Linked DNA regions of Drosophila melanogaster. Each later gene encodes a partner of the first gene's protein in a complex. Each region holds a gene or a part of one and is shown on either strand. Other genes may lie near its edges.

The links.
Region 2: Nup54 (region 1) and Nup358 share a complex: the UniProt entries of both Drosophila melanogaster proteins name them as parts of the nuclear pore complex.
Region 3: Nup54 (region 1) and Nup93-1 share a complex: the UniProt entries of both Drosophila melanogaster proteins name them as parts of the nuclear pore complex.
Region 4: Nup54 (region 1) and Nup188 share a complex: the UniProt entries of both Drosophila melanogaster proteins name them as parts of the nuclear pore complex.

The regions. Positions count from the first base shown.
Region 1 is NT_033778.4:12,426,914-12,433,912, forward strand, and holds Nup54 (nucleoporin 54kD), read right to left. Parts: upstream 4,187-6,999; 5' UTR 4,024-4,186; coding exon 3,969-4,023; exon of another isoform or gene 3,947-3,968; coding exon of another isoform or gene 3,838-3,946; intron 3,777-3,837; coding exon of another isoform or gene 3,700-3,776; exon of another isoform or gene 3,682-3,699; intron 3,548-3,681; coding exon 3,041-3,547; intron 2,982-3,040; coding exon 2,615-2,981; intron 2,559-2,614; coding exon 1,997-2,558; intron 1,930-1,996; coding exon 1,588-1,929; 3' UTR 1,536-1,587; downstream 1-1,535. Other genes in the region: CG13154 (uncharacterized protein), read right to left, coding at 65-769, 831-866; CG43204 (uncharacterized protein), read left to right, coding at 3,700-3,776, 3,838-3,946; DUBAI (deubiquitinating apoptotic inhibitor), read right to left, coding at 5,430-6,008, 6,066-6,903. UniProt on the Drosophila melanogaster protein: Component of the nuclear pore complex (NPC), a complex required for the trafficking across the nuclear envelope. Essential for the nuclear import of nuclear localization signal (NLS)-containing proteins in an importin alpha/importin beta-dependent manner.
Region 2 is NT_033777.3:25,246,157-25,252,909, forward strand, and holds the start of Nup358 (nucleoporin 358kD), read left to right. Parts: upstream 1-3,191; 5' UTR 3,192-3,474; coding exon 3,475-3,546; intron 3,547-4,066; coding exon 4,067-6,753. Other genes in the region: RpS27 (ribosomal protein S27), read right to left, coding at 197-225, 292-511, 1,277-1,282; Nup37 (nucleoporin 37kD), read left to right, coding at 1,807-1,950, 2,017-2,425, 2,483-2,892. UniProt on the Drosophila melanogaster protein: E3 SUMO-protein ligase. Component of the nuclear pore complex (NPC), a complex required for trafficking across the nuclear envelope.
Region 3 is NC_004354.4:13,819,963-13,827,432, forward strand, and holds Nup93-1 (nucleoporin 93kD-1), read left to right. Parts: upstream 1-2,863; 5' UTR 2,864-2,964; coding exon 2,965-3,125; intron 3,126-3,188; coding exon 3,189-3,369; intron 3,370-3,448; coding exon 3,449-4,252; intron 4,253-4,325; coding exon 4,326-4,954; intron 4,955-5,038; coding exon 5,039-5,735; 3' UTR 5,736-5,948; downstream 5,949-7,470. Other genes in the region: Clic (chloride intracellular channel), read right to left, coding at 1,963-2,046; jub (ajuba LIM protein), read right to left, coding at 6,508-6,755, 6,825-6,990, 7,081-7,143, 7,378-7,470. UniProt on the Drosophila melanogaster protein: Required for nuclear pore complex assembly, maintenance and function. Required for nuclear import of phosphorylated Mad via importin msk. Has no role in classical nuclear localization signal (cNLS)-dependent nuclear import via importin-beta.
Region 4 is NT_033778.4:12,679,315-12,689,107, forward strand, and holds Nup188 (nucleoporin 188kDa), read right to left. Parts: upstream 6,866-9,793; 5' UTR 6,759-6,865; coding exon 6,733-6,758; intron 6,671-6,732; coding exon 5,433-6,670; intron 5,361-5,432; coding exon 5,251-5,360; intron 5,192-5,250; coding exon 4,227-5,191; intron 4,171-4,226; coding exon 2,100-4,170; intron 2,039-2,099; coding exon 1,884-2,038; intron 1,827-1,883; coding exon 1,613-1,826; intron 1,553-1,612; coding exon 731-1,552; 3' UTR 653-730; downstream 1-652. Other genes in the region: GLS (glutaminase), read right to left, coding at 1-88; CG13148 (uncharacterized protein), read left to right, coding at 7,693-7,765, 8,283-8,466, 8,525-9,380; CG30053 (uncharacterized protein), read right to left, coding at 9,481-9,793. UniProt on the Drosophila melanogaster protein: Component of the nuclear pore complex (NPC), a complex required for the trafficking across the nuclear envelope. Required for proper protein transport into the nucleus.

The DNA.
Region 1 (6,999 bases):
CTAAGTGCATTTATTGTAGCTTTTTTATACAACTGACTAAAACCTATAGCAAAAAAAACCGCATCTATGTTCGACGTTCTTCCTGGACGGGAGACTTGAAGTTAAAGGCTAACTGCGCAGGAGCCGCCATCAAATCTTCCTCGGCCTGCTCTTCGCCATGCTGCAAGAGCTCTGTGGGCGCAGCTGGCTCCTTGTGGGGCTGATTATCCGGAATCTTTACCTGCATGTCCACCGCAAAGAAGGAGTCGTCGAAGTTTATTCGGTTGCGCTCGTCCTGCTCCAGATACATGGCTTTGGGCGCAGTTGCTCCGCCCATGGCCCTCTCGTAGGTGTTAAGCCACTTGAGATTGAGGTTGATGTGCTTGTTGGCAGCGTTAAACTTCTTTGGCTTCTTTTTTGGCTTTTCCGCGTAGTAGTTGTGCTCCGTCTTTTGCGGCGGAGGAGCAATCTTCTCCAGCATTCGGCTCTTGGCATCCAGCTTGGGCTCCACGAAGTCGTATAGAGGTAAATAGAAGTTATACGGCTGCTCCGTTGGCGGCAGCATTCGCTGCTGCGGCTGCACTTGCTCCTGCACCTGACTACTGGCCTCCGCCATGGCATCTTCCTCTAGAGCCGGACCAAAGATTTCCCCAGCACGCCGCAGCAAATTCTCTAAACGCTCTATGGTGATGATGTGGGGATGGATAAGCTGGACATCGTCGTGCAGCTGTGCCCGCCGAGCTGTCGGTGGTTTGGCCACCACGCTGCAGCAAAAGGCGCACAAAAACAACTGCAAGGATGTGAAAACTTAGTCCGATTTTCGCATTGAGCGGTCAAGCCAAACAACTCACAACCAATAAACCATTCATGTCCAATTTAATTCCCATAGCTCTGAACGTTTCACTTTCAGCTCCTCATATGCAGTGCTCCAATTGAACCACCTTCACTTTCTTAGATCTGAAACGATGTGAGGCCTCCTTGGAGCTGGCCAATTCATTTATACTGGCGCTACATGCTCCAAACGGAAGCTCGGAAGTCTCCGCCATCAATGGCCAACAAAAAACCTGCACGGACCCTGGCTGGCTGGTTGACTGGGAGAAAACTAGTTTCCCACACAAGAAATAAATATGTAACGAGCCAACTAACTAGACTGCACATGTATGCACACGCCAGAGCACATAATAATGTTAATGTAACAACGATGGTGATACCGATGCTGGGAGTTGAACAAACTGGAACTGCCAGAGACGAACCGTTTGCCACTCATAATGAGTCCGAGCGATTGCCTTCTGCCTAGCCGTCGAAATTGGACAATTTCAGACAGTGGCCGAGGAAAAGTCGGGCGGTCCAAGAGCTGTGCGGTGCAAGTGCATTGACCCACACAATTATTTCCGCAGCATTGGCGACGAATGTGTGAACTCGTTTCGATTGTTTCGACTCCATTGCCCGTAAAAGTGCAAGTTCAAAGCTACAGGAAATGCTAAACGACGACATAATGGCAAAAGTGTAACGGCCACAACTTGTTCGTTGTCTCGATCATCGAAAATCACCGGGTTGTGTTACACATATGTGGGTTTTATTCAACGTATCAGCTCATTTCCATTCCTATCACGATTGTCGCAGCTCGGGCAGTCCTTTAATTATAACATCCAGCGCCCTCAGGTCCTTGTTGACGGTATCGCTCAGCACCTCCATGGCGCGCTGCTGCATCGTCAGAAAGGTCTTCATCTCGTCCTCCGCTTCCTTGTCGAGGGCATACTCGGCACCACCGTTGGCTGCGAATTGATTGCGCTGCATGCGCATCTGGGAGAGGAGCTCGCTGAGTCGGCCCTTGAATTGGGTGGGTGCGGAGACGACAGCCAGCATGTTCTGTAGCTTGGTGCGCAAGGCCTCCTCCTCGGGCGTCAGGGAAGTGCCCACCTTGCGGGTGCACTCTTGTTTCACTATTATCTGTGGTTGAAAAATGCGGATTTCTGAATGTAAAAATAAAGTTGGGTATTTAACTAGGTGTCCCTACCCTTAGTATGCGATGACTGAGCTCGGCCAGTTTCCGTTTATGTTCAAGTATCTTCGCTGTGGCAGTGGCATGGCGCTTCTTGAGTTCTGTCAGCTCACTCTCCACCTTCTTTATGTACAATGCATGCGTGTCCGTTTCTTGTTCCTGACACTTAACGCGCCACTTTAAGTCGTTAAAGCCCACCATGGGCACTGGTATATATAAAGTTGGATCTGGATTGTCGGAATTGGCCTGACGCCACATGCGCGGATCCACGCCGCGGGGTGGATTTTCAAGGTACTCCCTCAATTGATCTTCGTCGGGTAATACCAGAGCCAAAGCCTCCACAACACCTAGATTATTGAGCTGTGGTTTCAGCGTCGCCTGATTAAGGTAGTTTGAGAGTTCGGTGGCAAGTATACGCTTGCTTTCGTTGGGAGCATGTTGAAGTTTCTCCTCGACATAAATAACAATTTGGCACTTTTTGTTCTCCAACTCCTTGATGGAATCTATGTGAACAAGCATGTTGGGCTTGCTGCCGAATAAACTGTGAAGCGTTTGAATCACTTGTTGCTGGTGTGGCCTAAAATAAAATGAATTAATACCTATGCCATGATGTAGACAAGCACTAAGACTTACTTGACAGCTGAGAGTTCTCTGCAGAAGTTAAGAGCCACCAGTCCCAACTTGTTATCCTTGCCCGGCATACGACTGTAGCCTATGGCCTTGAACCGGCACATCACGTTCTCCGGCGTAATGTCTACCGGTGCCGCACTCTGGGAGTAAAACATTTTCCCAGTGCCCCACGTAGCCTGCAAGTAGTTCCATTTGGCCACTATTTTGTCCCGTTCATCCCCGAAAATGGATACATTCAGAATGGATTGGGCAAACGCCTCGTCAGCCGATATGGGCGCTGGCTGCTGTTGCGGCTGTCCAAGCATAAAACTGGTGCCTCCGAATCCACCAAATCCCGGCGTAACTGTTGTATTCGCTGGTTTTCCGAACGCTGAAACATAAACCAGGTTAGGAATACCACAGAAAGACAAATGGGCTTATTTAACTTACTGGATCCGAAGGCTCCGCCCCCAAAGCCAGTGGACTGGCTGGTGCCAAAGCCACCAAAAGCAGGTGCCGACGTTGTGGTTGTGCCAAAGCCTGAAAATCCACTTGCTGGCGCTGTACTCGCAGCTGCCTGTTGGCCGAATCCGCTAAAAGCTGGTGGTGCTGCACTAGTCGCTGGAGCGCCGAACAGACCGGCCTGACTTGTTGCCGGAGCTGCTCCAAATCCGCCGAAACCGCCTCCTCCCAAACCCGTGCCCGCAGTTGTGGTTGTCGCCGCACCAAATGCCGGAGTACTGCCAAAGGCGGAGCCGCCAAAGGCAGAAGTTCCTGTGGCGGCTCCAAAAGCCGGGGCTGCAGCGGTTGCTCCAAAGGCGGAACCTGCTCCGAAGGCAGAAGTCGCCGGTTGGGCGCCAAAAGCCGGAGTCGATGTGGCCTGTGCTCCGAAAGCGGGTGCTGGCTGGCTGGTTGCAGCTGTGCCTCCAAACGGCGATCCGAAGAGGCCACCGGTTGCTGAACAAAAGAGATAAGAAGACCAGAAATGGGTCAGTGTTTTGAAAACTATGCTTCTGCCTTGGATTCTTATCTGAGATTTCGGGTTCCAAAATACTACAGAAGCTGCCCTTAGTTTGCTTCAAGCTCTGGTCGCCTGCTGGTCGTGGAAAATGGCTCTGGTTTTTATATTGCTGATCCTCCTGCTAGGTTTTGTGGGATACGTCGCCTATGTGGTCCACAAGAAGGGGTGAGCATCTTTGTCTGGCCACATAAGAACACTGACACCATGTAGCCCGTCCCACATCCAGCATAGATCCCAAAGACATCCGCATCCACAGCCTGCAGGACGCCAAGAAGCTGCTGAAGCCTCCACCAAGTGGAAATGGACCCCACAAATATTTGGAGAAAAGGGCATGAGGTCTTGTTTACGGAAACTCACTTTTGGCCGGCGTGCTTGTTGCTCCCAGCGACGTGTTGGATCCGAAGAACGACATGATGCGGTATTCTCAAGGACGTTACTTTGCCGCACAGTTTGGGTTGCCTTTCCTAGGGGCCGGAATTTGTACAATTCTATTTTATTGTAATAAAATTAGTCTTAATCCTAATAAACGTAAAATTTTGGCGCTTTCTAGCAGTGTTACCAGATTGTAAATGGGCTCTCACCCTTGCTGACAACAACACTTGAATTTCCCTTATTAATTTGGTAACACTGCCGCGCGGTCTAAATTATCGATAGTCTTAGGCCCGACTTTTGATTATTAGTACGCTATAATTTGAAATTTGGCGGCAAGAAAATCAATTCGCCACTTCAATAATCCTGTCAAGTTTTTAATTCTAGTTTACGCCTCCTCTCTAATGTTTGAACTGAATATAATATCCTCCTTTCTGATCATTGCTTTTCTTTTTGATATAGTAACTTCCATGAATGGATACTATTTTTGTTGTTTTCACATTAAACTCTTTCGTGACTCTAATAATTAAACACTCTTTGGGCTTGTTCTTTTCTTTATTGATACACTTATAGCATAGCATAGTATAGATTTTGGTTATCAATAGACATACACCATATACAAATTTCCTTGAAATTATTCCAATTTAATTGCAATAACGTTCAAAATTCATCGCAACCTCTGCTCACCAGATCCAAAGAGATACATTTATATATATCAATTACAAATTCGTGTCGCACATGCGCAAATTTTTTGAAATTTGCTAAAATTAACAGTGAAACTAATAATACGATCCGAGGGTTATAGCCCGATCTATAAACGATCTCGATCTATACAAGTCAATGCCGCGATTATCTTGTTTTGTAGCTTCTTGCTAGTTCGATTGCAACTCGAGATATGATTTAATTTCGAGCTGTGCGTTAAAAACTAGGGTGCAGACATTATTTCTGGTTTAGTGTTTTGGAAGTTAGTGGTCTTCGGATTCAAGTATATCGCTCCTATTTCTGGCTAATTCTATTGTTTTTTTTTTTTTTTAATTTTTATAATTAAATATGTTTGTGTTCGCATATATGCACGTTCTACAACTAGGTTTGTGTTAACAAAAACAAAAAAATTATAACAATTTTGTAAATGGAAATACAATAATAGTTTGCGTTCGTATGAGTGGATGAGTATAATGATTTTTGGGGCAACGGGCCGAAGGATCAAGGAGAAAAGGAAGAAACAATTTAGAAAACATCGACAACAACTCAAGGAGGTAGCGAACAAGCGATCGGTAAGCGCGTTTCTCATACACTTCGATATACGTAGGCGCATATATCTCGATTGGTTGTGAACGTGCTATATATATATGTATGTAACATTTCGATTAGTATGCGCGTGTTTCATAAAGTAGACAAGTATATGTTCTAGTGGCCTCCGGTGTGCTCGCTATCCTGGCTGTCGCTTTCTCAGAAGACGAAGCGGTTGATGTTCATGCCCAGTCCATTGCCTCCACATCCTCCGGGCGGCGGCGGCGCCTTGTCGTCCTCGTCACCATCGCCATCAAAGTTGTGCCGGCTGACAAACGCATTGCCGTGACCGCTGTTGCCACGCTTAAAGCGTTGCATCTTCAACTCTTCGTTGTAAACATGGTTGTCCTTTCTTACGTAGTCGCGAAGTCGGCGTGGCAACTCCTCCAGCTTCAGAGGCGGCGACAGTGGCACCGAGACCACCTGGTCATTTGAGCCCGATACCATACTCGAACTGCAGCTGGCCGTAACCGAATTAGACTCATTGGAGTGGCCGCACATCTTGTAGAACAGGATGTAGGGCGTGTTGGGCGAAGTGAGATTGTGCATCTCCTCCGGCTTGGAGTGGGTAACCACGTTATCGTTGAACTTGTACCAATTCTTGGCTTGATCCGCCGCGAACGTAAAGTAGTGACCGGAATCCATGCTGTACCCGGCGTGAACAACACCCGCATACAGATCATAGTGCACAGTGGACATCTCCTGCAGCGAGTCCTTTGCCGACATTTTTACTGTGACCTAGCGTGCGAAATGGTTAGCTAAACTTGTAGCGGAGAAATTCGCTGCGATACTTACGCTCTCATCGTGGAACACCTTATGCATGAGCTTGGTGCGGAAGTGGTACTTCTGATCGTACTTGAACTGCTTGAGCGTGAGAATAAGGTTCTTCGGTGCCTGGGTGACCCCGATGTGGCGCTCCGCATCGCAAAGCTTCTTGCATTGTGGACAGAAATATTGATTGTCACCGTCCAGCTTCTCGGGCGAGCAGTAGTACTCGATCAGATCCTGCACCGAGTAGTTGGTGGCTCCACAGTCTTCCTTATCATCGGGAAAAGACAGCTGCAGCTCGCGAAAGCTGTCCTCGTTCCGGCTCTCCCAGCCGCAGTTTAAACATCGATAGGTGGTGGAAAGCTTGCCAGCGAACGTCTTGTCAATGGTAGATGGTGGCTTCGCCTGATCAACCTGCTGGCCCTGCTGCTTTAAGCCGTTGGTGGCTTTGGTGGGAGTCGCGGGTGGTGTCGGTGTGGGCTTGTGATTACAATTGTCACTGTTGCTTCCACTGCTGAGCTCGTGATCCTTGCTGTTGTACGGAATAACGCCGCTCGACAATATATCCTCGCTCAGCAGTGCGGGCACGTCGTCCACTTCCCTGCCGGTCTTCGGAGGACCAACACTGTGACCAGTGACTGAGGAGCTGTTGATCTCGTGCTCGTGCAGCAGGTCGAGCAGATATCCTAGGAACTCGGAGCTGTCCTGTTGTAGGCCGGGCGTGAAGCTAGGCGGCCGGGTGGCGTTCAGCACTCGCGAAGGCGTTAGTTCGTAGCGCAGCGAGTGATGCATCAGGGCAATCTGCTGCTGCACTTTCATGAGCAGCACTGAATTGCACTCGATAAGCAGGATTTGCCTGCTAAAACTGCAAATGGAAAATGAGTATATGTAGTTGTAAGAAGATAAATAAAGCCAATAAGCTTCGTAATCGTAATTATTTTCGTAATCGGAAATTGACACC
Region 2 (6,753 bases), on another chromosome or scaffold:
AAATACGACAAGAACTGTTTTTTTTTTCACTTAGCCGACCACAACATCGTTAATTCTTTAATTCACAAAGCACAATGAACCAAAGGACCGCAGCAATTGAATTACAAGCTTTCTCTCGTATGGGTTCTGTGGTTTCTTTACGTTTTAGAGTTTTTATTAAAAAATTAATAATTTGTGGTTCATCGCGAGTCCCATTTTACTGTGGCTTCCTGCGGAAGGAGCAGCCTGAAAGAAAGACATCGTTTGGGTTAATTGCGAAGGAACATTGGACAGTGAGCATTTGGAGCATACCTTCTGTCAGCTTGGCGCGTCCTCCAGTCGGCTGGCACAAAATGGTAGCGCATCCAGCGCAGACCACGACGCCTTGGGCGTGGCTGAAGACGGTGGTGATCCTGTAGCAGCCGGGGCACTTCACGTCCATGAAGTACGAGTTGGGGTGCTGGACCAGGCGCTTCAGCTTGTGCTTGCGCTTCTCCTCGGCGGGCAGAGGGTGCAGAAGATCTTTTGCTAGCTGCAAGGTGAAAATAGTTTCAAAATTAGTATAAATTCATTTAATGTATATATTATACTATATGATTACGGCCAAATGTGTTGGATTACTTCAAGCCTAGATAATCCTCTAAATCTTAGTTATAAGTCGAAATTTCTTTGGCGCCAAACGTGTTGGTCCAACTTTGATCCAATAGGAAAACCAATTCTTTATTAATTAACGAAGAAGTAACTTTCTACCAATTTAAATACTTGAAAATATATTTTAAAGTATAACTACTTTGATCTTTAAGTTCTCAATTAACAATTCATTTGGGAAATAGATAACAATAGAATTGAATACAATGTTATCAGGCCACTTGACGATTCTAAGCCAGACAATTGGCACATTTTCTCTCGGTGTATCAACAAATGCAGAGCAGACTCCAGGCAACAACAACATAAATTCGCAAATGCGTGTTCTAGGTTATGTGCAAGGATATCCGTCGATTTCACATGACAGTGCAATCAATTCCTCCTGTAAGTCCCAAGATTCCATTTAAATCTCATTTGGCCATTTCACAACTGTTTGCAATTTCACTGGCGCACGCCATGCGTGGCTTGTATCGCACACATTCAATGGAAGCGGGCCAGACATTTGTTTTACAGTCTTTCAGGGCCGTTATTATCGGCCGACACTTGCTCCGTTTACACTGGACACTTTGGCGGTAATAAGCGGCCGTTTTTGGTTATCATTCGGTTGAGTTTTCTGTGTTTAAATTCAATTTTAACGCAATTCGGAACCCACCGGCATGTTTTTTCTTTCACAGCTAACACGGAAAAGGAAGTGGGGTAAATCGCAGCCAACTTAACTTGCCCGAGAATGCACTAAATAATGCTGAACAGCTGGGCGATGGCAACTCTGCTGCTCACGCTTTCCAATACTGGAGTGTGTGTTGCTTGAGTTCAAAATTTATTCTGACTTTATTCGTGTATTAGCAATAAATTTTATAAAAAGCAAACGCTACACAGTCGATATTAGGCATTACTACTATTACTATCATTAAAAAGTTCGCCGACGTATGACTACTTAAATATTGTTATGTTTCTTTTTAAGACTAGCCATTTTTATTAAAACTTGAGGCACAATAATGTAAGCATTAAACATAATAACGAATATATTTTCGAATAACATTTCTTTGCGTATTCTGTTTTTTAAAAGTGTAAAATCTTGGAAAATTCTTCCACTGATTTTTGGTCATACTAAAATAAACATTTTTTTGGCGCCGGCTAATTGTTGCATATATCCCGCGAATAACAAACAATATTTATAGAAAGATGCGATCTGTCATCGAGCCCGACCACAGCATCCAGCTTAATGAAGCCATCTACTGCTACGATATATGCACCAATGACTTTGCCTACAACCTAATCGCAGTGGCCTTCAGGAAACACTTGAGTCTGCTGCTCGTTGGACTGCCGGTGGGTTTCCATGCATAAGACCAGTGAAGGTTGAATGATTTTGAATGGTTAACCCTTAATCCGCAGGAGGAGAGCGGCGAGTTCGGGTACACACGCCTGCAGGACATGGACCTGGGCGAAAAGGAGCAGCGGAGCGTGAGCGCACTGGCCTTCTCGCCGGACACCTCGCTCAACTGCACGCCCAACAATGTGACTTTGTGCGCGGCCAACGGCAGCCAGCTTAAACTATACCGCACCGATCTGGGCCAGTTCACCTCGCTCCAGGTGCTCCGTGGGCATGGGGACTACGTCAACGATGTATCCTGGGTTTGCGACGGCGAACTGCTGGCCTCCGTTAGCGATGACTTCACCTGCAGATTCTGGACGACGACAGGCGGCGGGGAGAATGTCATAACCTTTGGCCTGTCCTCCGCTGGAATGTCCGTCAAGAGTCACCCCGAGGATCCCAACAAGGTTCTTGTGGCGGAAAAGAAGGGTGTGCTTGCTATTACCAGTGTTTAGCCCGCGGTGTAACTAAGGAAACTCCTTGCAGGCATCATTCATCTATACAATGTGACGCTCAAGCAGACAGTCATCTCCGTGGAGTCGCCCAAATTCCCCCTGATGTCGGCGGACTGGGCCCACAGCAACCGGCTCTTCATCACCTCGCTGGCCGGCGGAGATGTGGTTACCTGGGACCTGAACCGACCCTATGTGCCCGCGGATGTCAAGCAGGTCCACGAGGATTGCGGCCGGGTGGTGCGCTTCGCGCCAGGCAGCTCCGAGATGGTTATCGCCATGGTCATCGGGCTGACTCTCAAAGTGTTCGCGGCCAAGTCGACCGTTCCTCTGCTGGAGGCCTCCCTGAAATCCTATGGGGGAATGGCCTGGCACCAGCGATTGCCGTACATTAGTGCGGTTTCCGATAGGAAACTGCTCTTCTGGAAAGTGCAAATGAAGTAATTTATATAAAATTGTATGAATAATAAATAAAAGAATATAAAAAATATGATATAAAAAAGATTTATCAGAAGAATATCAATGATCTACACTCTATTTCTATATTTATATTTCATAATTTCGTTAAACTATCATAAGTTTTATATTATTCTTGAACCTTCTTTAATTTATTTATTAAATCCCTTATACTTATTTGTTTGTTCGAAAAAAAATCGTAGCAATCGATAGTTGCTATAGTCATTAAAACATCGGTGACGCGATATATTCGCGCCCATCGATGAAAACGCGTAGTCATCGTTTTTTGTTCCAGCACTAAGTTTGCACAAATTTTTTGGTTTCCGTGCTGTTCAGCTTAAGTTTTAATTGGAATTTAGTGATATTTACGTTCCAATCTACACCGCAAACGAGTGCAGTTTGTTGCGACTGGAATTGCCCATCCGAATCTACGTGATTTTCCGGCCGGGGCAATTAACCGTTCGAGGAATCTGCTTCAATCGGATGACGAGTGAAGAAGAATCTAACGCGAAGCACATTTTTGCAAGGTCTCGTCCACTGCAAATTGGACGTGTTTAAAAAAGTACAGATATGTTTACAACGCGAAAAGAAGTGGACGCACACGTCCACAAAATGTTGGGAAAACTTCAGCCGGGAAGAGAGGTAAATAAACGGCCAAAGTGTGCATCGGAATTTCCAAAAAGAAAATCATTGCGAAATCTTCAGGCGCCGCCATTGAAAGCACACCGTTGTGTGCGTGCGGCGTCTGCTTGTGTTTGTGTGTGTGAGTCGGCGTCACTTGGCCGTCGTTTTTGAGATTGAATAAGAAATTGCGCGCTTTTCTTTCAACGGCTGCATTTCATATACTTGACAAATAGAACGCTTTTTTCGCAGCTGCATGGCTTTCGCCTTCTCTGTATAAATCAAATTAGATATTTGAGGTTATGTGTACCATATCAATCTGCTAGAGTGAGCGCTGAATTTGTAAGACCGCCAAAAATAATTCGAATTTCCATTGTGGATTTGAATGATTTTTTGCGGTCTAACGTAGCTCTATCTAAATAATAAGCACACAATAAGTCAAATCTTACAAAGTTATTCTTATCCAGCTCACAGTGATTGTCTAAAAATTTAACAGACTTTTTTGAACCTAACGTACTAATCAATAAAATGTATATTGTAGCGCGATATCAAAGGCTTGGCTGTAGCTCGATTGTACATGAAAGTTCAGGAATACCCAAAAGCCATCGAGTATTTGAACGGCTATCTCCGGGTGAGGGACGACGCTGTAGGCCATAACATGATTGCCACTTGCTACAGTAGGCTGAACCCGCCCGATGTGACAGAGGCCCTGCAGCACTACCAACGTTCTATTCAAATTGATCCGCGTCAGTCAGAGGTTGTCATTGACGCCTGCGAACTTCTGGTGAAGGAGAACAACGCATCGATCACGGAGTGCGCCAGGTACTGGTTGGATCAGGCTAATAGCCTTGATTTAAGCGGCAACAAGCAAGTCTTCAACCTGCGAATGCGTGTAAATCTTGCGGACAGTAACGGCGAAAGAGATGACACCAGTGGCGGAGACGGCGAGCAAAATACCCTCGAGATTCTTATGTACAAGGAGCTGCAGGCGCGTCCCCAGGATGTTAATATACGCATACAACTGCTGCGCAGCTATGTTGAAAAAATGAAAATAGACCAGGCCTTCAACTATGCTCTAAAAACGGAACTGGAGTCGAAAAACTGCACGAGCCAGTCGAACGAATGGTACGAGCAGATCTGGATGGTCCTTTTCAAGATAGAAATGGCCAAGGATGTAAAGAAGAACTGGCGATTTTGGCACTTCGCCTTGCACACTCTCGATCGTCTCGTGCAGCTAAGCCTGGAGGGCAGTGGACTGGCAGACAGCAGCAAGCAGTTGTTCAGACTTGATCAATATCTATTCAAGTTTAGCACTTCGATAGAGAGGTCAGGGGACGCTCCGCAGCGGGATCTCCACCAGGCTTGTATTGACCACTTTACCGGCCAGCTTCTGCTTCACGCGGTGACACTGATTTTCAAACGTGAGGTTCTGGCAAACAAAAACAAATGGATGAGCACGCTTCGCTCCGCTTTGCCACTTCTGCTCCTTGGTTACCAGGTGCGACCGATCGATGATTCGAGTACCAACCAATGGATAAAACACTGCGACGCGGAACAGAAGCAGTTGATACAGATGTGGCGCCCTCAGGGCGCCTTTCGATGTGCCCAGCTTGGACGAACCCTTTTGGGCTGCTTGGACCGGTCACAAATGGAAATTAAAAACGATAGAGAAAATGCCGAGTTTGATGAGAATAAGAATTCGGGAAATTCTATGCCGGGATTATTTGCCGACTCCGAAGAGCTGTTGGCCAGCGCTCACCAGCAATGCTTGGACAAGAGCTGGCGAAGTCAAATTTACCAACAGCTCTTTACCCACGCCGAACACAAGCTAAAGGATACGTCTTCGCATCTGGTGCGGAACCTGCGTCTGCAGCTGCCTCTTTTTGAGTGGCCGAATCTGGCGCATATCGAGAACTACGAACTGCAAGCGTTGGTGCTGCCGCCACACTCCTTAGCCCAACATGTCTACCTGGCTCTGGGCACCGACCCGAACAAACTTGGAGATGCGCCACGCGTGGTCTTTTATGAGGGTTTCCAACGGGATGTTAAGCAGAATCTAAACTACTGTGGGCAAGATTCAATCAGCCAGGTAGATGTGGACCTCTACCTTTATGCCACAACCATTCAGACCAGACGTAAATTGCAAATCCAGCGTGAGGTGTATGACTCCTCCAATTTGGGAAACCGCAATGCTGCCGCCCGGCCACATATGATGCCATTTGCCAATCTAGTGGGTCAACTAGGCGCACCGGAGCAAAGTAACTGGTGGGATCTGGTGGTGCGACTTAACTCGAACCAGCTTATCACTGAAGGCAATCGCGCCGAGCAACGAGCTCAACTACAACATGGATTGGAAGCGGTGCGCGGCGTTAATGGCCCAAAAGCAGATGCCATCATCATTTTTCAATTGGGAAAGATTTTAAATTCCCGATCGGATCGTTCTTCTCTAGAAGCGCGTATCGATACCCTGTACAGGCAAGGATTTTCAATTTTACGCCACCAACACAACCAGCAGATGGAATCCTATGTCCGCGTCTTTAAGTACGGATCCGCCGGCTCAACGGCAGCATGGCAAGATCTTCAGTCGTTGGCTGAGGAAGCCGTCACCTATTTTAGCGAGAAAATGTTTAGGATTGGACAGTATGAGCAGTTTTTGGACGAGGTCCGGGGACTTCATCTGCCCATGGCCTACTTTTTGCAATCGGAGGCGTGTCATCATCTTGAGGAATCTTCCAAGCTGCCTCGAACTTCCCGAGATCGTTACTCAGAGCGAAGACGTGAATGCCTGCAGAAAACGCAAAAGTTAATCAAAAATGATGATAAGCACCCACTCATAGCGGCCATGCATAGACATCAACAGGACCGCAATAGTCGGGGTATCGATAATAGCTTCGGCAGTCCGGATGTTCATAACAATTCATCCGCCTACGAGGACGCAGAAGATGATTTCTATTCCCATGCAGCCTTCTCTGCCAATCGATCACGTCGTCAGTTAGAAGTCACCCCAGTCACTCCCATTGTTATGGCACAACCGAGTCAGGAAATGGAGCAGGCTGTCAAGCAGATCAGCAAGTCACTGTGTGTGCTCAAGGACGATGTGAGTGTGGGAATGGAAGCCATGCGGCAGGATATCAAAGTTCTTACTGAGAAGTTCACTGGCCTGGAGGATCTGCTTAAGAAGATCAAGATCAGCAGTCGAGACACGCCTACACGAGATGTCGATCCCGC
Region 3 (7,470 bases), on another chromosome or scaffold:
TGTCAAAGATGCTTCTGTCACTCTTCTGCTGCAGTTTAACTATTGCTTTTAACTGGCCAAAAATTCAGGCAAAAATTAGAGAAAAAAAAAAAAGAAATGAAAGGAAACAGGTGCTCCCAAGCACTTTCTCCCACGAAAACAGGAAAAGGGAGCGGGCCATGGATCATTGGGTTTAAGGGGGAAATGGGGGATGGGTTTCGAAAGTGTTAGGACCAAAAACTTACGATCATACGATATGAATAGAATATAGCTACTAATTTCAGCCATTACATATCGTATTGCTGTTTAATTTGGAAACAAAACTGGTTACGAAACCCTATTCGAAGTACACGATTGCTCATGTCAGTTGTTTAGCGTCGAGTGGGGTTTTTTTTTTCTTTTTCTTTCGGGAATCGAATGGTATAACACATGGTATATTGTACTGTTTGGGTTTAGGCAATGCAAAGGTGAGGGAAATTACTCATGGGCAGACGACTCGAGGTGCGGTCTCCATTTGCGTGGGCTGGATGAGTGGCCAAGTTGAGTCGAGTCGAGTTTGCCAATAGAATCAACAACAGCAGGGCTCCAAAGTGTTCCGAAAACAATTACAATTACTTCGGCAAACAGTGGGAACCAACAAAAGAAACAAAATTAAGTGGACTCATGCTCGACTTACAATTCCGGGGAAAGAAATAGATTGCGGCCTCTACTATAATACAAAAAAAAAAACCAAAGGGTTCGTAATCTTTCTTTGACTCATTTTGCAATAATATCACCTTTAAGAAAGATGCCAATGAACAATTGTTTTATCACATGTTTTTTTTTCCACTATCGAAGAACAGAACTGATAAGAAAAGCGTTGTATTCGAGGAGAAAAAATCGAACAAGTTTTTATTATCGATTATTTGTAATACATAAAGAAATAAAACACTACATATTGAGCAATCTAAAGTTAAGTTCTATGATTTAAATTCATTTAATTAATCACACTTTAGGAATCTTGGCTTCTCAATGCTATTATCTTGACCGCAAATGTGCGGAGTGCTAGCTTTTTGTTTTCTTCGATTCTTTGGAGGAGCATGACGTATGTGTCAAGAAATTTAGAAATCACTAAAAGATAAAAAAGAACCTCTAATTCACACACACACACACAGAGAGAAACATGCTGATGGTTGCGAAGGGGGGCGATGCGGGGGGCTTAGGAGAACTATGATGAAGGAGCATTTGTTGAGCAATTGGCGCAATGAAATGTGATTAAATTTTTTAGCAGATAAGAACCGAAGTAATATGTTACGTTCCACAAATTTCAGACTGTGCGCACACAGCAATATCATGATTAATTGTTAATTATAAAATATTAAAAAGATATTTCATATGAACAGCTTGGTATGCTCGGATAATTTGGAAAAAGGGCGGCTTTAGAGTATTGCACCAAAAAGGTATGCTGTAATATTTAATTTGGATGCTTTATAATGGTAATCATGGAGTTCTGAAAATCATAACTCAATCAACAATTTCGTTCTGTGCAGATGTGCCCGAATGCATGTGTATGCGATAGTGTGCGTGCGTGTGTGTGTATGTGTGTGTGTATGTGTGTGTGAATGTGCGATAGGGAGAAAAGGAGAAAACCGGTTTTGGCGATGCTTAGGAACCGCAAGGCGAAAGGGGAACGTCGGCGAGAGGGGAGGGGGCGGTGTGTGCTAAACGTATTCTGTTCGTTTTAACCAAATGTGACACACTGCAAAGTGCCACAGTGAGAAGAAGAAGAAGAAGACAACGAAGAACGAACAGGGGTAAGAAGCCGAAAAGAGGGAGGAGGAGGAGAAACAAACGGCAGTTCGCGTTTTCCCAGTCGCTTCTTGTTTTTGCCTTTGTTTGCATTTGCTTCTGCTTTTGCCCCGGCTGCATTTTCACTCTGCACGGAAATTTGCGCAGAGCGAAATGGAAAACTGCAGGGGTATGCAAATGTCGCTGTTCGCTCACCTTTATGATCAATTCTATCTCGGGCACATCGAATTTACTGCTGCCGTTCGTCTCCTGGCTCTGCTGCGATTCAACTTCCGACATTGCGATATTGTTATTATTTTTATCGTTTATTCTCGATATCTCTGATCAGATCGAAGAGTTTTTTTCTTTATCCGCGTGACGAGGTGCGTGCGTGTTCGTTTCCTTTTCGCTTTTGTTGTGCTAATTTCCTTTGCCAATACACACACTCACGTACACAAGCTGTAACACACACAGGCAGCACACTCACACACACACAGAGAGACGGAGGGAAGAAGAAGCTCGCCTCGCAGTGTTTAAAAAAAATATGCCGTTCTGTTCTACGATTTGCGCGCTGCTAAAGTCTATTCACGATTGAATTGGTTAGCCGCTGAATAAACCAATCTGCACTGCGCGAAATACACTAACGCCTGCTGTTCAGTGTTACCAGACGGTCCTGCCTTTCGGCCGGCCTATAAATACCAAGCTAATACCAAATGTTTTTAAAGTTGTACTTACAACTCCCTCTCAATAACAGTTGTTATTGGGACATTTCAATAACAGATTGCGTAATACCAAAAATACCTTATACCTACAAAACTCCCATTTGTTCTCAATTTATTCCCCAATATATCGATATTCCATAAAAATTTTGAAATTTCGCGTTCGGGGAAATCGACTATTTTCTTTGTTTTTATAACAACTTTTAGGTATTGAGAAATAATTTCTTAGTCTGCTATCTATATAAATTTTTCAATTTAATGATTTTAATTATCAAATATTCCTTTTAAATTATATACCATCTGTAGACATTATTATAGTTATTCTAACATATAACAGTTGTACTATTAAATATACCAAAAAGAATACCACCGATTGCAAACATTTTATGGCGCCGAAATAATCCGGACTGCGACCAGGTGGCAGCACTAGCAGCTTGGTGTGCGCTTCGTTGGAAATATCATTTTATTGGCACCGGCTTTTCCATCCCAATATCACGACATGGATCTGATGGAACTGCTGAAGCAGGCCCAGCGCCTGACGAACGAGACCAATACGGACACGGAGGTGCCGGGCGTGGAACGGACCATGTCCCAGGTTCTGCAGGCAACCAAGGAGTTTCACTCGCGTGTCACCCAAATGGGCACCAATGATCTGCAGGCGTGAGTAGTTCGCTATAGGCCAGGCGCCAAAAATTGTCATATTAACCGGTCATTCAAATGCAGCCACATACTGCTCGGCTCTAAGGGCGTGGACCTGCCCAAGCTTACACAGAAGCTGGAGTCGCTCAGCGCCCGCCAAACCTTCGAGCCGATTGATCCGGTGACGGAGACCAATGTGCAGGCCTATCTGAAGAACGAGCGGGAGAACGCCATACTCTCAGTTATCGATGAGACGAATCGCAGTGTGAGTGCGCCAAATGACATGCTTCAGGCAGACACCCAAAATTCTGAACTTTCTATCTCCATTAACCAATCCATTGCAGATATTTAAATCTGTGGAGCGACAGAAGTGGCGTTGCATCTACTCGGAGTGGGGCGAGGAGAAGGAAGCGCTGCTAAACGCTCTGGTCGGACCAAACCAACAGGACTTCCCCGACGTCCAGTTTCAGATAGTGCCCACGGCCATGGCTGATGAGCCCACTCCGTACTCCCAACTGAATGGCCATGAGCAGATGTACGCTGAACAGATCGCCATCCACAACCAGTCGATCATCCTGGGCAGACGCCCTAACTTGCTGTCGACCCTTGCCCACGTGGTCCAAGACTCCTTCAACGATGAGTCCGTAGCCGAGATGTGGAATGTATTGCAGTTTATGACCGCGTTGCCGCCAGTCTCGAGCACCATCGATCCAATCAAGAATCGTCAGACATCACCGCAATTCGTTGAGCAGGCCCGCACGTACTTGGAGCGCAGATATAGGACGTATATGAGAAAGTTTATCGTCGCGAATTTGGCCAAAGCGCGGCGGGGAGGAATCCCCAGCGTGTACCATATGGTCCGCTCCTATGTGGGCGTTACTCTCCAGGGGCAGCGAGCCCTCTACGGGCTGCATGACGTGAACAATGGCCAGCCATTGTGGCCACATGTTTACTATAGCTTGCGGAGTGGCGATATGGACGCGGCTGCGTTGTATCTCAAGGAATCGGGAACCTGCCCCGACCTGCTTACGCTATTGACGTTGCGAAAGAACGGCGATAGGGACAACTTGATGGTAAAGCTTGAGGGTCAGCTAAAGTTGGAGTACAACAGTAGACTGCGCGCCTGTACGGATCCCTACAAAAAGGCGGTGAGTGCTCATCTTTTGCTACAACTTGTTGCGTATATTCGTGCTAATCATATGTTTTTCTCTTTTCCATTAGGTATACGTCGTATTGTTGGCGTGTGATCCGCACTTCACTCACGTAGAACTAATGCGCAGCATCGACGACTTCCTGTGGATGCAACTGTCCATTCTGCGCAGGTCGGACCAAAGCGACAGCAACACGGAGCAGCTAACGTTCAGCGGCCTGCAATCGCTCATTTTAGAAAAGTACGGCGAGAACTACTTCAATGCGCGCGAGAAGGCGGCGCTATACTTCCAGGTGCTGACGCTTACCGGCCAATTTGAGGCCGCCATTGAATTCCTCGCCCGCACCGAGAAAAATCGAACGCACGCTATCCACATGGCCATTGCCCTAAACGAGATATCCATGCTGGGAACACCACGTTCCGTGGAACAATCCCTTCTGAGCTCCGACCCTGACGACCCAAAACCAATGAAACGACTCAATCTTGTGCGTCTGATCGTCATGTACACCAAGTGCTTTGAGAGAACGGACACCACGCAGGCGCTGCATTACTATTACCTGTTGCGCAACTTTAAATCCGAGAACGGACGCGGCAACGTGATGCTCACCTGCGTCTGCGATCTGCTAGTTGAGAAATGCGACGACGAAATGCTAGAGCTGATTTTCGGGACGGAGGATAAGAAAAACGGCTTGCGCTATGGGTATGTTACGTTTTTGGTACTCTTAAAAGATTTCAAAATCCTTTTGGCAAATAGCTAATGGTTTATTCATTCCCCTTTATTTAGCGGCATATATGCGGAATTTCAAATTCATGAATGCGATAAGTACTCTCTGGCCGAAATGGTGGGCGATGAGTTGTCGAAACGCGGCGACTACGAATTGGCCATCGAGCTCTACTTTATTGGTGGCCAGCTGGACAAGGCACTGCGTTTGGTGAACTCGCTACTGGCACAGGTGGTCCACCAACCAACGCAGAATGGAAGCGTGCGTAACCGGCTGGGCGATATTATCAATCGACTAGATGCGGCGCTGGTCGTGCGTAAATCGGACGTAGAGGTTCAAGTTGTTGTCACATATACGGTGCTGACAAAGGTCATGAAGTTCTTTGACCACTATCACGAAGGCGCATTGCGTTCGGCATTAGAAATCCTGACCAACAATCATCTGATACCCGCCAGCTCATTGGAAGTGGACGAGTGTGTGACGAACATAAAGCGGATGGGTCCCGAGGTCATTAAAGTGCTGCCCGATATCCTGCTGGCGTCCATGGACATTGTATACCAGGAGTATGTGAAGCTAATGGACTCGAATGAAACAGCTTCCGGTTTCTTTGATGAAAGCAAGTGCGTCAATAAGGAGCCCGCCGTGAAACATTTGCGAGACAGGGCCAAGGCATTCACCAACATGGCTGCCAGCGTTCCATACCGAATGCCATCGACCACCAACCAGCGGCTCGTCCAGCTGGAGATCCTTATGCACTAACATTAGCCAGATTAATACCTAGTTATCGTTTATATGCATTTCATTCAGTTCGTTTAAAATTTTATTGATGATTATATTTTTTTCTTTCCAATAATTTTATTGGAATTTTTCTGTTAAGCGCAACGCATTTAAAGCATTAAGCATTCGAAAAATTTAAAAGAAAATATTTTGTATGTATGTGTTATAAGAAAACTAAACAAAATTCAAAATGTCACACGTATATGTTAATTACTCACGGTTTAGGCAAACAATTAAAATTTTGCATTTTCGCTACTTAATAACCGAATGTATGGTATGTATCACAACAAGCCACTAACCCACTGGAATATCCACAAAAGACTTTCAGATAAGAAGTATTAAGTATTTTATTGCATAATTTGAGACACCGTTTGCTATTGCATTGAAACCTCAAGAGGTCTCAGGAACACCCCAGGACATACATATGAAGAACACATCAATATACTTGTATCAAAATAGTATTGCCAACAATGGCTGCCAACTGTCGGAGATTTTAGGAATCCATTACATAGTTTCTAACAGATCCGTTTCGAGATCCTAGTACACTGCCATAAAAATGAAGAAAAAAAAAAGCCATTAGCTTGGCCCTCGTTTCGTATAAATGCATTTGTTTTCACTTCTGTCTATTTAAGATAATATTGTTAATTGGAATAAGTTGATTGCGATAGTTTGTTCTGGTTTTGTGCGCCACTCAGTCGAAGGTCGGAAGGTCGGTCTGCGCCGCGCCGCCTCTCCCAGCCACACTCCGTTCCGCTTATCCCATATACTGGTACGAAGCGCAGACGGGCTCCTGATGACGAGCGTGTGGCGAGGATTGCAGCGCCAGACGTTGCAGGTGGCAACCGCGGCAGAGCAGGCGCCCGTCCAGCGGGTAACAGCGTTTGTCCGGCTCATCGGTCAGCTGCATGCCGCACTCCTCGCAGATGTAGCAGTCCACGTGGAAGTCCTTGTCCATCGAGACGACGCGCACAGTTTCGTCGGTGCCCTCGACGGGTGTGATGCCTGCCGAGAATTGCCGACGATTGCGAGATTAGCATTGACGTATTATTCGGAATGAAGTTGTGAACCCACCTTTGCCGCAGCTAGCGCACTTGGGCGCAAACATTCGATGGTAGTCGTTGACGCAGTAGATCTTGTGGTCCACGTCCACGGTGAAGGGCACCCCGTCTAAGCACTCATTGCACACACAGCACCGGAAGCAGCCCGGATGATACGACTTGCCCATGGCCTGCAAGATCTGCAAGAGGGAAAGAGCGAGAGCGACGTCAATGTGAGTACAAGTTGCCCAATTAGAGTGGGATAGAAACGAATGGGGTGCAGTACGAACCATTTCCATGATCAGATGGCCACAGATGGCGCACTTTTCCGCCGTCTGCTGGAAGCCCGAGTACTGCAAGAGTGAATTCTTATTATTATTAATTAATGGCGTTGAAATCATAACAAAGCAAATGAAAAGGTAATTGCGTCAGTAACCAAAAATAACGATTTATAATCATAAATATAATAAAATTCAAACAACACAATACAGTTGGGAAAGTGTTTTCTCAAAATGAAAAGGAGTTTTTACGGGGAATATCAATATTTTTCAGTCCTGACTAAACTACAACTACAACTATCTTCTCACCATGTAATCCTCCTCGCAATAGACCCGACCATGCACATTGTAGAACGCCTTGCCTCGCAGCGCCCGTCCGCAGGAGCAGCAGATGAAGCAGTT
Region 4 (9,793 bases), 250 kb from region 1:
CTTTGGCGCGTTGATGGACCAGCACCTGTGCCTGGGTCGTCAGGAGACGAAGGTTTCGACCGGCTAGCGTGGGAACACCTTTAAGCATTATCACAATCACTGACTTGGCTAATTGGTTGCCCTAATGACGACGATGGTCTCTCTGATTCACGGATTATCGGATGCCTAACAGGGGTAAACCTTAATGCTCGTACTTGATGTCTTCGTTCACGTTCACGCTGCGTATCCGCTCCGTTGTCTGCACATGCGTCCTCTTTTACCAATCGCTGGGTACTAAAATGCCAAAAGCAGAAAGCTCATAATCAGCTCAACGCTGCCGCAAAAAACGTTGGCGGCGGCAAAAGCAGCGGTGATTACTTCTTTGGTTGTGAGTAAGCATAAATAGCCGCTCTCTCTCTCTCCCTGTTTCTGTGGGACTGAGTTTCATGGCGGGGGAGACACTACCACTTCCAATGGTGGTAGTTCTCTCAGAAAAGAGACGGTGATGACGTTGCTGGGGGCTCGTCTAACCCAGTGACGTCATTAGCACAACTGTGCAAATTATTTTTCTACACTGGGAATCATGGAATTGACTTTATTACATGAAAAGATATTTGTTCAATTAGCTTTTTTTTTTTTATTAAAAATGGATCTATATGTGTTAACAAAAAATAGTCGCACTGTTTTATTTAATGTCTACATACTTTATTTAGAAATCCATGAATTACTTTACAACCGAAGGGCTAGCAGCTCAGTCGCAATGGGGCATTACATTAAAGAGGGCCGACATCAACTGAAGGTAGTCCTCCTCCACCACTTGAACCTGCGACAATTCACAATACCCAGGCTCAGTGGGCGGGGGAAAGTATTGCAGTTCGATGGCGGCCAGTTCGTCCTCCAAGAACGCGTCGCCCGCCTGTTGAGCGGGATACAAACGCTTTCGGCCATCCAAGCTCGTCGTCATGGCTGCACCTTGAGCTGCCGCAATGGGACTCAGATCGCTGCTCATGTCAAAGTTTTGCGGTGGAGGAGTTCGCTGCTGTTGCTGCAGATGCAGTCTGCGTACGACATTAACTCGCAGTTCGTTATTTGTGTTGCTGCGGCGCACAATTTCTGAGCTGCGGGAAGAACTGCTTGAACTCCTCACTGGGTCCACGCACTTCAGCTTACAGAGCCCGTGTTTTCGTCGTAGCCAGGGACTACGGTTCTCTTTGTAGTCTAATATCACCTTGCGGCGCACGAACTCGTTGAAGATTAACAACTCGTTGCTGATGTCCCGACGCACGATTTGCTTCCAGAGCGTTTCGAGGTTCGGTGAGCGAATTATACAGATGGCTTGCGAAGCGACCAGCATGAGCAGATGCTCCAATGCAAGCAAACAAAGCTGGCCGTCCATGTTGGAGAGCAGCTCACTGGCTGGACAGGTTCCGGTTGAAATCGAGACATTGGACAGAGGCTTGGAGAAGGTGCGGTTGGTTTGGTTGCCTACACAAACTTCTGGATCATCGTTGTCCCCGGAATGCTCAACGTTGGGCAGTGAGTTTAATGGCACCTCACTGAAGCCATGATTTTGCTGATGTTTTGAAAATAATTAGAACAGAATGGACACACTTATAATGCCACATATACATACCATATTCAAGGCCTTTACGTATATGTTTACCAAGTTGAGGACGATTCCAAATGTGAGCGTTAAGTTCTCTTCGTTCAACTTAGGTGCACCAAACTTAACGTCTAGTAAGATTGAGTGTTTGGAGGGCTCATATGCACTGCAGCACAGTAGTTCCATTAAATCCGGACTAAATCTAAGCAAGGCTTTAACGCAAGAAATTATTATATCCGTGAGGCTGTTATAAAATGGAAATATTTAGTCTAGTATAACAACATTATTCAAGTTAACTTACTCATTGCAGGCGGAGATAAGTTCATCGTCAACGATTAGAGCCTCTGTGCTGCGCAGAATTTCTAGCTGGGAGCGTCGACCAGCCAGAAGACACTTTAAGTTTTTTTGCTGGTGAAACAAAGATGAGGTGTGGCACAGCAAACTCTGAACTGCACGCTGTGGATTTCAGTTAAGCGATTAAAATATTATTTAGTTGAACAACTAAAACAGAACCCACCATTAGGTTAGCAAGCGACAGATCGCTGTCTTGCTTCCACTCTTTGTGGTGCTCCGTCAAACTGGCGACTAAGTTAACAGCAGCCTTGATTAAGTACATGGCTGACGGTTCCAAGGATTGTTTGCTCAATAACAATGCATCCTCCAGGAAAACAGCATGAATGCCCACAAATTGAAAAGCATCTTCAAGAAAGCACTTCTTGTGCTTCTCGTAAATGATGGTAACAAGCTCAATACCTCTGGCGTATACAGGCCACCACTGCTCTACGGTCCAACCTTCTGCATCCGCAGCCGTCGTCTTAGTAAACTCGTGTTTTGACTGCAAAAGTTCTCTGGGAGGCAACAGTTTCAGCCACAAGTATTCTCCCACATCGCAATGCAGAAACTCAACTGAACAGTGGCCCTTGGCAAATACAATGAGCACATCCAGCAGCTGCACACTTAGAACTTGTTTGCTAAACAATGGAAGGGTTCTAGACACACAGCGCACGAGCCGTTGAAACAAACGCACCGACACAAATGGCAGATCCCAGTTTCCGGGACCGTCGTTGTGGAATATGGTAGCGACAGCCTTTAGCAAATTCAGGCAGAGAATAAGTGAGTTGGTGGATGTCTTGCTGTCTGAACTGTCCGAATTATTGAGGCCCTGCGATTTCTCCAGGCTCACCGAGTTCTCCATGTGCTGCAGTTCGCTGCAAATGATGCCTACGACTGAGTTGAGAAAACGCAAGGCTATGGACGAGTCCCTGATTAGCAGGTCTGTGTATAGATGTGTGCACTTGGTCACAATGGCCAGGCATGCCTCTTTGGCCCTTACGTGCTGATCCTCATAGCACGCACAGATGCGGTTCATCAGTTGCAACAGTAGGTCCATTAGTGTCTGTTCCTCCTCTAAACTGTCTGTGTACGCGTGCTTAAATTCCAGTAAGATGAATACATACAGTTCAGCCAGTATGATGAACGGCCGCATGTCCTCCAAATAATTTGAGCGATCAACCAGGACAACCAGACACTTCTGCGCCATTAGCTTAAACTGCGACTCGGGTATGGTCACGAACTTTGGCTGTTTCTTTAGCAAAATTACAATAAGATCCTTAAAAGCCTGCAGGCAACAGATCCAGTCGGGCAAATGGTCGGAAGAACTCAAATTTTTTACAGCCGGAACCTTGGGCATGTTAAAGACGTAATTAAGCCAAGGTCCAAAGTTCTTCTGTTCAAAGAACTTATTCATGACGTCAAGCAAAGCGGCATTGTTTCCATTTCCCGTATAGACTTCAATGGATATAATATTTAGAAGCTGAGTGTAGATTCGTAAATTTGGCTGTAGCTCGGAAAAGAGCGGCGAACAGAGTTTTTTCCAAAACTGTTTATCCTTCACTAGATCATCCACTAGCATTTGCAGATTATGTTTCCACATTGAGTGGAAGATGGTCATGATCTTAGCGGGCAAGGCCTGTTGAATGGTTAATGGATCCACTTGAAGGGCGTCCAGAAAGTCTCTCATATAAGTGACAATACTCTCGCCAATATTGGGAACACAATCCTTACTGAAAAATGACCGGGAACGTTTATCAAGGGCATAGTTAACCTTGAAAAATGCCTCGGTAACACCCGGTTGCTTGGCAATGCATGCGTCCACCAGCTCAAGGATGGCTATCTTTATGGAATCACTTTCTAGCTCATCAGGCAACTTCTGCATAAACGTCAATCGGATTTGATCAGCCTCCATGTCCAGACAGGCCAAGAGAGACATATTGAACTGGAGAGCGATTCTTTTCAGCAGGCGGCAAGACAGAATCGGTAGCCATCTATCAAATATGTTGCTCATGTAACTGCATACTGTAGGTATGATCCGCAGAGTATCACGCTGTTTGGGTTGTGTGTATATCAACGCCTCCAGCGGGGAAAGGGTCTCACTGTTTCCATATACCTCTTCTTTAAGGCGCAGTAACTGCATCAGGATACGCATGGATAGACGGACTAACATCATTAAGCCGTGAGGTTGCTGCTGCATCCAATTTGTCTCTAGCTCCATGGTGTACTGGACATAAGCATTGCCCACACCAACAAATCTAAAATATACATTTTATTTAAATTTATTCTTGGTTGGAGTTACGGTAGCTCTTACCTCAAAAGAATCAGACCATTTTCCAAATTTAGAAGGGAATAGACGCACACCTTTACCAAAAGTTCGCGTTGCTTGCAATTAGATTCTTTAGCAGTGTTAAACAAGTCCAGGATGTCGCATATAAAGCTAAGAATCTCGAAGTAGATCTTGTTTCTCTCCACTTGAGAGCTAAAGTGCCAGGTGTGCAAGTGCGGGAAAACATCCTTTAACAGGAATATAAGGCCGGGAATCTCCATCTGGATTTGGCGATTCCGTTTCAGGTTGGAGTACGCTCGCAGGAACCCAATGTATGAAAGCAAGAATTCGTAGCGCTCCCTTTTCTTCTCCACATTATCAATGACGGAGCCTAAAAAGCGCGACTCAAAGCCCACTCCATTGGCATTGGCATACATCTTGAAGTCGTAGTGAGATCCCGGGCTTACTGTTGGCAAGATGTGTAGGTTGCTTATCCGCGAAAAGATTTCCTCGTCTACCAACGGCAGCAGCGCAGTGCAAACATTGAGACAGCTAGACAAAAGTCCAACCGGTGGGTATTGAACGCTTTTGAACGTGTGCAGCAGATCAACGCACATCTCGGTAGGATGCACCATTTCGGCGCTGATGCCGGATATCGATTGACTGAGCTTAACGGCACTTTCCAAAAATCTTAAACCAGCTTCTACATTGCGTATGCGTTCGCTCGATTCAAAGTCACCATGCAGGTGACCCGTCTCGCGTAGCAGGCAGTTAATTTCGTGGTGCAGCGCGTCAAAGTAGTTTACCGGGAAACGAAAGTGCATAAAGCAGCCGGACGGATGTTGGATGGCTGTGCAACTAGTTCCTGCGGGTATGGTAAAATCAATTTGCTGAAATGGTTGCACGCTGGCCAGGAGCTCGAATTCATTTGTGTCCACTTCTCTGAGTTTGTGCTGACTTTCGTCGTAACGAAGAGCCAATATGGGCAAAGCCTCTAGTTGGCTCTTGACCTGCAAGATTGTTAAAATAATTTTAACTGATGCCTTTGAGTGTACAAGTATTGGCTTACATAGTTGCCTTGTCCCGCTTTTGTCAGTGACAGTGCCAGTTTGGACAGATGTGTTAATTCTAGAGGGAAGTTCTCTAAAAGAGTTTTGTACAGCGAACACGGACCATCATCTAGATAAATGTAAAGTTGTTCGTTCTAAACTAATTTTTTCGGTTAAGCTCTTTTGATTATATGATACTGACCTTCCCGACTGCAAAAGTCTTTAGCTAAGTGTGGCCATGAGACAAGTTCGCAGAGCAATTCGTAAATGCCCTCATACCGAGCGCAGCTGCCATCGCCGTCGAAGAGGTCGCACAGATATCCAACCTGGTTGTATATGGTTCTTCGCACAATCCGTGACAGCATAGAGTCATCGGCGTACATAGAATGTCTGGCAATTAGGTGCAGTTGGACAAAACACTTAAGATCCACGGCTCGCTTGCCCAGCTGCCGACAGCGGAGCAAGCTGGAGGCATCGTCGGCATCGTTGGTGCCTCGCAAGCGAAGCAGCATCCACGCTAGGAGCAAAGGGCCATGCTCTGGTCTGTGGTACATGCTGGCAATATCAACCTGCAGATCCTCTATAAGCTTTTCAATTAGATCGGAATGCTTCTCGGGCTTCTCAAAGTCGAGGCACTTTAAAACTAACATTAGCTCTGAGTAAGAAAGGCTTCGAATAATCTCCTGATGGTAAGGTTGGCTGTCATCCAGATAACTTTGCATCTTTCCAAAGGAGTGTTGCTTGCAGGCGGCAAATATTCTCTTTATCTGCTCCAACCCCATGGGCAGGTGTTCCGCTAGCACCAGAAGGATGTGCAGCACCTCGTTGATCTCACGAGCATTTCGCTCCGACCAGGCAACTAAGCGTTCCGCAGAGTGGAAGCATTCTCCCGCCATTAGCTTTCTGGGTGGGACTTCGCAAATAAGGCTCTCCAGTTGGTCTAGGTATGAATCTCTAAGGCGGGGGATGGTTATCTTTTCGACCACGGCGCGATACTCCCGGTGATAGGGATGATTCGGTACCTGGTGAAAGACGATAAGATTCTTAACAATCTTGAGGACAACCATGCGTTCCAGGGAGTAGTAATGCCGTATGTCTTCGTGCAGTTTGGCCATATTCGTTTCGGTAGAGATTAGTTGGGTAAGGAGACTCGCCGATCCACGGTACTCCTGCGTAAGGTAGTAGCAAAGGATTTCCCAGCACTGGGCGGATTCTAGATCCAACAGATCCTGCAGTCGTTCGGTGAAGGGCAGCAGCTTTTCCTGCTTTTTCTCTTTGAGCAACGTGCCCAGCTCGAGGCTGGAGGCATTCTTGGGCTTAAATTGGAGCACTCCAGCCTGCAATTCAGAAGCCACGTTCATCAGCTCCTCACGTACAGTATCCTGCGGCGTCTCATAGTGGATTCCTGAGACCATCGGCCACAGGCGCTTCCAATCGGTGCTACATGGCAAATCGAAGGATTTTATTTAGTCATTCAATATTGTCGCACTGCCGATACTCACATCACGCTCTTTTCCACCGCAGGCATTGTCTAGGCTCTGTCTCTTAACAACTACAATAAAAAATTATTTAATAACAAATGTATTCTGTTCCACGCGCAAATTCGCGGCGTTGGAGTTGCCACCTAGCACAATAAAATGCCGGGACAATCAGCTGGTAACACCGAAGGTGTATCGATAAAACGATAGTTCTTGTTTTAAAAAGCCAGTTAGAAAATTGTGATACAGTACTTTATACATTTTCTTTAGCTTACTAAATCTTACTTAAATCAAGGTATGACATCTTAGATCTGATGATCGCTTATAGATTTATACAAATAAAATATACATGGAAAGCACGTGTGCGCCCCATTATTTATCTATTATTGTAGCATTACAGTTAAATTGGTATATATTTCACGCGAATAGGTTTAGAAACCTATTTTATAGGTTTCAAATATAGACGTTCGCATGTGGCCCTTCAATCATAACTTGACACATGCATTTAGCATTCAGATCTTGATATTTCCCAAATATTTCATAAATAGCCTTCCAATCCAGCCGGACTAGAACTATTTAGGTTAGACTTTCCAATCACATAAAGCCATTCCAGTGAGGCTGTGGCTGCGGCTAACAGACCTGCGAAGTCAGAGTGCAAAGTGCGCAGATGCTGCACTCCGGCGCCCACTGCACCGCCCAGCCACCCAACCACGCCATTCTAGAGGCCCATTTCTTGGAAACTAATACCACTACTCCTCGGCTAGCCGCAGCCTCCCATCTTTTCCAGATCTAAGAGCGAGCGAGAGAGGAGCGGAGAAGGCGCGAGAGAGTAGGCGCACTCGAAGTTCACGTTCACGGCGCCTGGAAGCTGCAGCCCGAAAATTGTCCTGTTAGTACGAGAAAACTATTGACAGGCGAAAGGTCTAAAATTGCTCATATTCTGGCAGAAAAGGCAGATTGGACTTCAAAAGTCTGATAGCCGCAATGGCTCAAGTTCAGCTCAACGCAGGAAATGGGCAAGCCCCTAGCAACGGAAATAATGTCGAGGATAATGAACGTAAGTCTGCCGATTGGCAATTGTGAAATCATAATAGAAAATTGAGTGATTGCCCGGAAAGTGCACAAGTGTTGGTCTGCACAGTCCTAGTGGAAGGACATATGTGCATACCTACGCACATAGTGTGTGTCATGTATCAGGATATATGTAGGTATATATGTATGTATCATAAAGGTGTATGTCAGCAGCAGCTAGCATCTTTGACATAGCTAGGATGCTTTTTGGCCTGGCGTTGGGTGATAACTTAAACGGGAGAGCGAGCATGAGAGCAGGATAACAAAGAGAGAGAAATGTCTGAAAGGATGCTGCGAGAGCGCCAGAGATGCCACTGCTGCCCAAAAGCAACAAGTTTTTGAACTTAAGCTAAATCAGATAAGGCTAGAACTACCTCGATTTCGTTAGTTAATTTCGTAGTGTATAAAGGGGTATCAAATATAATTATTATAATCTGTAAGCTTTTATATTATTCAAAACAAGGACAATAATTAAAGGTAACTTATTTCTTTTATTTCCATAGCCTATCAAATAAGTGACGATGATTTGGATGACCTGGATGATGATTGCTTGCTCGAGGAGGCAGATACCTCAGGGGCAGGCAATAATGTGGGACGTGGTCCTTACGAGCGTGCTTGGACCACAGAGGCCACCAGGGCATTGATTCACATACGCGGTCCCATGGAGGGTAGCTTTACAGAGGGCAGGTGAGCAAGGTTTTTATTCCACCGTAAAGACATCTTTGTAAAAGTAACTCCCTTACAGACAAAAACGGACTGCTCTTTGGCTGCACTGCACCCGGCAACTACAGCGACTGGGATTTCGCTACTCCGCCGCAAAGGTGCAGAAGAAGTGGCATAACATCCTCATCACCTACAACAAGAATCTGAACAAAAAATACGTATCCGGCTATGTGCACTGGGAGTTCTTCGAGGAGATGTTCAAGTATCTGCAGGGCAAGAAGGCTGACTTTGATATGCAGTTGCCACAACAGACTTCAAATGCGCCACAAGCTCCACATTCGGCTAATGGGCAAAACCCGAATCCGGGTATTCCCCAGCAACCTTTACAGCTTCAACCTACTCCGGTGAGCCTAAAGCCGGGAACACCCCAAATGCAGGTGCAACTTCCACCCCAGACTGCGGCCAAGGACAGCCAGCCGTATATTACACCTGTGGATCAGGTCCTGCTGCAGGCCCAGATGAATCTGGACAGCAAGTCCAACGATGAGTTCGATGAGGATAGCAACAGCATGTCGGAGGTAGTCCGTCAACCCAAGATGGAGTACGATGGCGATCAAGTTGCGGAGGCTGAACGTACAAACGATAGCAGCCAACATCTGGAAGTTAATGGCAAGCTCTACGATCTGGCACGACCCATGGGCTCGCACCAAGCTTCTGGCATCCCCGATGACATCTGGTGGAAGGACTACTTTGAAAGAAAACTGGAAGTGGAGCGGGAGAAGATAGAGCTACAACGGAGTTTGCAGCGCGAACAGGTGCAGATCCAAAAAATGTCACTGGTGCAGCAGGAGCGGATTGAGCGCATGAAGATCGATGCCATCAACAGCCTGACGGGCACGCTGCAAAAGTTGGTGGAGGCCAAGTGCCGCCGGGCCTAAGATGAATCTGTTCCCTCCCAGTAAATTTCGATAACTTTAGGCTTCGATTCGTCTGTATCTAGTTGGGTGTGTAAATACAATTTCGGCTAACTAAAACACTCTACGGCTGCCAGTCTATCTCGAAAATGCTAGCCAGGGAGGTCAGCTTTCCGTGGGGTTTCTCCAGACCATAACTTAGGCTCCAGATATCCGTGGTAAAGATCAGACCTTCTCCTGCATTCAGTCGCATCCGCAAGCTTGGACATATTCCTTTATTGCAGGGCTTCTTTGGATGGAGAACCATCTCAAAGTGGCCACTCAGTTGCTGGATGAGCACTAGGCCACGCACGTATATATCGGCTTGGTTTCGCTTTTGCTGATGGACTGCCAATAGCCAGCTGGAGTAATACGGGGCCAGGTGAAGTGGGTAGTAG